Linked DNA regions of Macaca fascicularis. The protein of the gene in region 2 purifies or fractionates together with the protein of the main gene of each other region. This does not show direct contact. Links are inferred from orthologs where the notes say so. Each region holds a gene or a part of one and is shown on either strand. Other genes may lie near its edges.

Evidence for each region.
Region 1: the proteins of DDB1- and CUL4-associated factor 8-like protein 2 (region 2) and CUL4A purify together in Homo sapiens (affinity purification with western blotting; 3 studies listed by BioGRID and IntAct, with this or other methods). This does not show direct contact. The link is inferred for Macaca fascicularis from reciprocal best matches to the Homo sapiens genes DCAF8L2 and CUL4A.

What each region holds. Positions count from the first base shown.
Region 1 is NC_088391.1:103,655,873-103,659,372, forward strand, and holds part of CUL4A (cullin-4A), read left to right. Parts: intron 1-1,107; coding exon 1,108-1,226; intron 1,227-3,500. UniProt on the Homo sapiens protein: Core component of multiple cullin-RING-based E3 ubiquitin-protein ligase complexes which mediate the ubiquitination of target proteins. As a scaffold protein may contribute to catalysis through positioning of the substrate and the ubiquitin-conjugating enzyme.
Region 2 is NC_088395.1:27,734,689-27,738,796, reverse strand, and holds the start of DDB1- and CUL4-associated factor 8-like protein 2, read right to left. Parts: upstream 2,801-4,108; 5' UTR 2,743-2,800; coding exon 862-2,742; 3' UTR 1-861.

The DNA of each region.
Region 1 (3,500 bases), on a different chromosome or scaffold from region 2:
AAGTACAAAAAGTTTGTGTCAGTAGATCAGAATGTAACTGAGAGAAATAAACATTTGGAACTCTAGGTAAGAATTGTAGGCCGGGTGCGGTGGCTCAAGCCTGTAATCCCAGCACTTTGGGAGGCCGAGACGGGCGGATCACGAGGTCAGGAGATCGAGACCATCCTGGCTAACACGGTGAAACCCCGTCTCTACTAAAAAATACAAAAAAAAAAAAAAACTAGCCGGGCGAGGTGGCGGCGCCTGTAGTCCCAGTTACTCGGGAGGCTGAGGCAGGAGAATGGCGTGAACCCGGGAGGCGGAGCTTGCAGTGAGCTGAGATCCGGCCACTGCACTCCAGCCTGGGCGACAGAGCGAGACTCCGTCTCAAAAAAAAAAAAAGAATTGTAATTATAGCCCCACCGTATGTTTGCACACATCTTTAAACCACCTCATTTGTGTGGACATCGGGCCCATTGTGGGCAGAATCTGAGACTTTGTGAATTGGATGACTGTTCACTGTTTTGTGCTCTAACCTGGCTGCCTCTCAATAGTTACCATAAAGCAAGTATTTAGAAAATCTATGAGAGTTTTTCTAATTGAGGTATGGTTTTAGAAAACCCTTATAAACATTAAAAATCTAAAACACTGAAAACTTTTTTAAATGCTGTGTTAAATACTTCAAAATATCTGATGATATTTTTCTCTTATAGTTTAGGTGTGAATAAATTTAATCCACTATAAATTAGATTTGATAGCTTGTCCTTTTACATTGTCTGGCTGATGGACTAAATTAGAAGTATATTGGGAACATGAACCTCCCAGGTTAAATAGTTGGTGTAAACTGGATTTTCTGACTTGCTAACTTTAGTGAAATAAGAGGGCTTCAGTGACATGAAGAAGTAAATACATCTTCCAACATGCTCAGAAAAAATGAGGTTCACCTAATAGGATCCATCTCAGATATTTAACCAGATCAACCTTCTCATATACAGGCAGTGATGTGTAGAGCCGCCCAGTTTCTAAGCGGTGTATTGGCGTTCTTACCCTGCACGCTGTATTCTAGTTGAGTTATTGTTGTTAATGCTGCCCATGCTGTACTCTGCTGACGTGTACTGCACATCTCAGGGCTTGACCACTTACTGGACGAGAACAGAGTGCCGGACCTCGCGCAGATGTACCAGCTGTTCAGCCGGGTTAGGGGCGGGCAGCAGGCGCTGCTGCAGCACTGGAGCGAGTACATCAAGGTACTGGTGGGGTTTCGAGGCCGCAGGCGCGGGCGTTTCCTGCAGGGAGCAGAGCCCCTCCTGAGAACACCCAGTGCCCTGACAAAGGGAACTGGGCTGCTGGAGGGCCGGTTGGCATTTTCATCATAGATGATAGGGTGGATGGTAGTGTTCTATCTGCTTCCCCATCACCAGTGTGAATTTGCTTTTTAAGATAACACCAGCAGTGATTAGCACCATCCAGGTAGAAAGTATAACTTAAAGATCAACAGTTTTGCTCTTCTTCATCAGCGTAAATATTGGTTTAATTCTAAATCATGATTTTTCTGAAAGTAATCATTTTTGTAAATCTGCTTGTCAGACAAGATCTCCTCATGCCCTTAGCTCAGTGAGAACTATTATCTATTTGGCATATTAGGTAGCTTTATAGACTTTATTTCTTAACAGACCAAATTTAGGATTTGTTACTTAAACTTTCGCTTTCATGTTTCGAAAGCATTTCTTTGGCATCCCTGACAAGCCCAATCTAACCCGTCATAGAGTGGCTTCTTGGGCAGTACCCTGAGTTTTCACGTGTCCTGCCCAGGAGAACAGCCCCTCGGTGCTGACATAGGACCTCCCTGAAGACTAGGGGCTCTCGGCCCAGGGCACCACCCCACCAAGGGGACACTTGTTGATGTGTGGAGACGTTTGTGGCTGTCTGAACAGAGAGGGTACTGCTTGCTCTGCTGGGCAGCCCCGGGGTGCTGCTGAATGCACGAGGCAGCCCTCACCACAGAGAATCACCTGCCCAGAGTGCCAGTGTTGCCCAGCCCAAGAAACCTACTGAAGACCCTCTATAATGAGAAGCCATTCTCCAGATGCCCCTTACAGAAACAGGAGAACTGAGGTAAACATCAGGGCCCCTTCACAGATAACTCGTGTTTTCAGTATGTGCCAGTTGCATGAATTTTCCAGCTTAAATGGTGAGCGTTTAGCAGGAGTCTGTGTGTGTGCTTGCTGGTGACTATTCTTAGATCCCAGAATGAAAAGATAGATAAAATTTCCAGAGAATTACGCTGAGAGAAAAAAAAAAAAAAGCCAATCGCAGATACTTAACATGTTATTGCATAACATTCTGGAAATGGCAAAATTTGGAAATGGAGGACAGATGAAAAGTTACCGGGGTGTAGGGATGGAGCGGGGTGTGTGGTTATAAAAGGCCCCAGGAGGTAGCCTTCTGCAGGAACTGTTGGGGTTTTGGCCGAGGTCTAGATGTGCACACCCAGATGAGTTACAAGTCAACTGGGCCATCTGAAAAAGACCTGGGGGGTTATCAGTGTCAGTATCCCGGTTGAGATACTGTTCTGTAGTTTTGCAAACTTGCCATTGGAGGAAACTATGGAAAACAAAGATACTGGGATTGCTTTGCTATTTTTACTATTATGCAGCACTTTCATTATCTCATAAGATTTCCATTAAGTAAAAAAGATAAATGAAAGCATACGTGCTGCTTTATGGAATAATCAGACCTCAAGTCACGTATCAGTCCAGCTATGCAAAGCCGGCACACCTAGCAGCTCTCCCCACAAGGTCTTGTACAGCGACGTTGAATTGGAAGTTACAACTGAGTCACACTAAATTGGCCATAAAGCTACTGAAGATTTAGGTTTTTTGCCAGTGAGACAGTCTTCAGGGGATGAGAATATGTGCTAAAAAACTAGGAAAAGTTCACCTTTGCAATTTCCAGTCTGGGTAATAAAAATCAGTGAGTGACCGTCACCCCTGAGTGTCAGCAGTAAGCAGTTATGCTATAACAAAATAGTGGTTTCCATTCAACTCCACATGCCGTTATCAAAGTAAAGCTGTGCCCTTTCTGTTGGCATCTTTTTTTTTTTTTTTTTTTTTTTTTTTTTTTTTTTGAGACAGAGTCTCGCTCTGTCATCCAGGCTGGAGTGCCGTGGCATGATCTCAGCTCACTGCAACCTCCGCCTCCTGGGTTCAAGCATTACCCTGCCTCAGCCTCCTGAGTAGCTGGGATTACAGGCTCCCGCCACCACACCCAGCTAATTTTTGTATTTTTAGTAGAGACGGGGTTTCACCATATTGTCCAGGCTGATCTTGAATTCTGGACCTCGTGATCCACCCGCCTCGGCCTCCCAAAGTGCTGGGATTACAGGCATGAGCCACAGCGCCCAGCCTTCTGTTGGCATCTTTCCACCGGCCAGCTACCTCGTGTGTGTGTGTGACGTGTGAGTGCACGTGTGCATTGTATTGAGACACATTTTTTAAATCCAATAATTGTATTCAGTTCCT
Region 2 (4,108 bases):
GGAGGACTTCCTGGAAGGTAACCCTGTAGGAGTTCCCAACCTTAAAACTTTAAGAAAACTTAATGCGCAGAGTAAACAATGTCATGTGATCAAATTTAATTTAATTCTTACCAGCTACAGTGTACTCAAATTTTTAAAAATTAATATATGGATTCAGAAAATGTAGACAATCTCATGTTATTTATTCTGAGGGAATGAATTATCTGGTTAGGAATTAATCTACACACTACTTCTTCTCTTTTCCTTTTCTGAGACTGTGTGTGTGCATGGCCAAGTGTTAGGAATTAATCTGCACACTACTTCTCTTTTCCTTTTCTGAGACTGTGTGTGTGCAGCCAAGTGTCAGTATCGACAGAACAAAACTATAGTTTGTCTTATTTTACTTCTAAAGAAGAAACATATTTCTGAAATTTTCAGGTTAACTGAAGAACTTGATCTTCAGAAAAAATTGTTAAAGATGAAAAAAAGTAAAAAGGTAACTGTTTTCAGAATGTCAGATTTGAGTAGATGCATCTAATAAGGGTATTAATTTTTTCAACAAAATTCAGAAAATCTAGAGGTCAACTATAAGGGAACAAGGGAAAAGAGGCATAAATAAGTTGCGTATGCACTCATGTAAGAATAAGGGGTAACAAAAGAGGCATAAAGAAACCAAGAGGAAAGGAATGAGAGAAGGAATGTATGGAAGAAAGAAAGGAAAGCAGAGAGGAAGGAATGGAAGAGATGGTTTTCAGCATATATTGTGGAAATTAGAAGACAAAAAGCAAATCTATTAATCTATTGACAATTCTAAATTAGTCAAACTGAATTTTAAAGTCCAGTGTACTTAGGTGGCATCTAGCTGGACTGGGTATGAGGCCTTCAGGATGGCATGCACTGCACTCGGTCTTGGCCCTCCTCCTCGGATGTCTCTGAGGTGCTGGAAGACTCATCCGATTCTTCATCTGGAAATTCGGCTTCACCACTTCTCCAGCCCCGGTGATGACCTCTCTGTGTCAGGTGACGCATGAGGAACCAAAGCATGTACTGGTCAAACAGGCTGGCATGGTGCAAGCTATCTTCATCTCGTTCCCACTTGTTCTTCTTAATCACCTTCTTTAATCCAGTAAGCTCAGTGGCAGCTTTAGCTGTGGGTGTCCAGATCTTCACATTATGATCTAGGCCACTGGTCGCCAGCACAGGTAGGTAAGGGTGGGGTTCAAGACAGTTTATTGTACCTTCTCTGTTCCCCTTTAGGAACTGGATGATCTGGCAGGATGATTTCTCCCAGAAGAAGATATGCCCGCAATCACTACCGCTCACTACAAACTCACTCCTGGGGCCATAGAAATTAACACCTTTGACTGTGGTATTATTTCTGTGCCCCTTAAATCTCTTAGTGTATTGAGCACCATCACTGTGAGAGGAGTCGAAGAGGTAAATATCTTCATCATTGTAGCTGGCCAGAAGCTCTGTGCCATCGTAACTGTACACAACACAGGTGATGTTTGTTGGGAAAACACAATTAACCAGATGATGAGGAGTGAATTTCTTGAGCACTCCATTGTTTTCTTTCTCATCAATTCTCCTCTGGTCATAAATTCTTACAAACTGATCTTGTCCGCCCACTGCAAATTGGTAGGTATTGGCGGGATTCACAGTAATTGTATATAGTCCCACTTTCTTATCCTTTTCTCTTGTTACCACAACTTTTGAAGCTGGCCGGTCTTGTCTGAGGTCAATGGTGAAGACAACAGCATCTTCACCTGAAGTGAGGAACTTAGAAGGAGAGTCAGGCACCAGAGCCAACTTGTGGGCAGGTCCCCTGTGCTGGGCCACACACTTAGTATTCTCGAAATATGATGCATTAATTAGTTCTGCTACCCGTACCTGCCCATCACGGGCACACATGGCCAGGGTGGAATCACCACAATTAGGAAGGAATTTGGCCTGGAAGACATTATTTGTGTGACCACTTTCAAAGTTGAGTACTGGCCTCTGCCGTACCCAGTCCCACACTATCACCTTTAGATCATCACCGCTACTGGCCAGCCGGGTGCCACGCTGGTTAAAGTGTACAGTATTGACACAACCGACATGGTCTGCAAGACGATATTGCAGGCGGAAACGCTGCACAAAGGCTCTTGCCCCACAGGCCTCATATACAAAGCGGGGACGTGAACCCAGCTGCCGCTGGTGAAGAGCAGTAACGACCTGCCAGCGAGGTAGGGGCAGGGCAGATGTCTCTGAGGAAACCCACTCCTCCAGCGCCCGATCCTCCTCTAACAAGTACTGCTCATGGTTGGCACCACTGCATTGTGGACCCGCCCGAGGCTGTTCTTCTTCCTCCTCCTCCTCCTCCGCCTCCTCCCCTCCCTCCGCCTCTTCCCTTCCCTCCTCCTGTATCTCCTCTTCTTCATCCTCCCTTTCTGTCTCCTCCTCTCCCACCAAAGGGTAATGGAATAAACTTTCACCACTCATGAGGAAATGCTCAAAGTCCTCCATGCTGTCAAGTTCGATGTCTTCACTTGCACTTTCTCGGTCTGAGCTTCGATTTTCTGTGCCGACATCGTTGGGGAATCCACCATCCCTGGTATCACTGTCATCTCCGGTCATTGTCACACTCTGCTCTGAGGTCGCTATGTCAATGTCTGAGGAGTCCTCTGTCGCCGCCACTGCTCCAGACTGCTCCTCTGGGCTGCTGAACAGGCTTTCAGTCCCTAAGTCTGGTAAGCCATCTGTGCTTCCCTCTTGGTGGGACATCTCGAACGATCTTTGCTGTAGTTGATCTGGAACTGCAAAGGCCAGGCCCCTAAAAGCTCTGGGAAGAAAGTTGGCCTGCGGTTAGGACTGATGGTCGTGAAGGAAGTAAGCGCGTGGCAATCAAACGCCAATCTGATTGGCTAAAGGGGACAATAAACTATTCTGCCAAGGCAGTTGCCAGTATGGGATCCCATGAGGTTCAGAAAGCTTCTTACCTGCTCGCCTCCTCGCAGCATCCAGATTGCTCTAGGTTTCCCAGGCCCAGAGCCCCACCCCGACAGGCATCTTACACTGTGAGTAGCTGCGGGTTTTTGAAGATGAAACTTGCTGCACCTTGGAAAATGTTCTTATTAGAGAACCATGAGCAAAAGTGATCCTCTTTAAGCAAAATAGTTTTTAGAAGCCTCTCAGTGTTTTGCTTGAAGGTAATGTACTCTATAAAATGAAGATGTAGGCAAGAACAGTGAAAAGTTAGCTAAGTGTCCCACAGCTAGTGACTTTTTGACATACAAGAAATATCTTAAATCGAGCAGCTTGAGGGAAACCTTGAGTGCTCTAACTGGTAGAATCGATATAGGGTTGCCAGATAAAATATGGTATGCATAGTTAATTGCATTTCAGATGAAGGATGAATACTTTTTTTAGTATGAGTAGGTCTCAAATATTACATTAGATATATTGCCACTAAAATTTTATTTATTATTTATCTGAAATTCAAATTTAACATGGTGTCCTCTATTTTTATTTGTTAAATCTGGCAGGCTCCTTTAGTGAAAAGAATTTAGACCCTCAGTGTAATGAGGGCTGAAATCAACTGATCAATTGAAAGTGGACATTGAAATGAGTAATGGCTTCACCTATTTGAGATAGAAGTAGTACTTCCTTTTTTTCTTATGCCACTAGAGTTCTTATATATTTATTTAGAGTTAATTCAATTTAAGATACTTAGGGAACACCAACACAATTTTATGGAAAAAGAAATTATGTGATGTCATAGAACTATAAAATCTCTTACATATCACCCACAATATGTCAGAGGTTTCTGTGGGGCCTCTAAGGAACAGAAAACAGCTCTACAGAGACAGTTAATTGGCATTACTGTGTTAATTTAATAGTTTCTGTGAATGAATTATCTAAGGTGATGTCAGCATATTTTCAAAGGGCTACAGTAAACTGCTAACTAAGAATGCCAGAATGAGGAAAACAAAGTTTCCCTCAGAGTAACTGCAAGATAAATGCAAAATTGATTAAAAGTAGAAGTACACAGTCTTCTAAAGAAAGCGGATGGTTCCAAGGCCAATAGTAACAGAAAGATATGTAAAAGAGTATTCATAGCAACTTGTAAAGCCTAGCACAGCAAACTGAA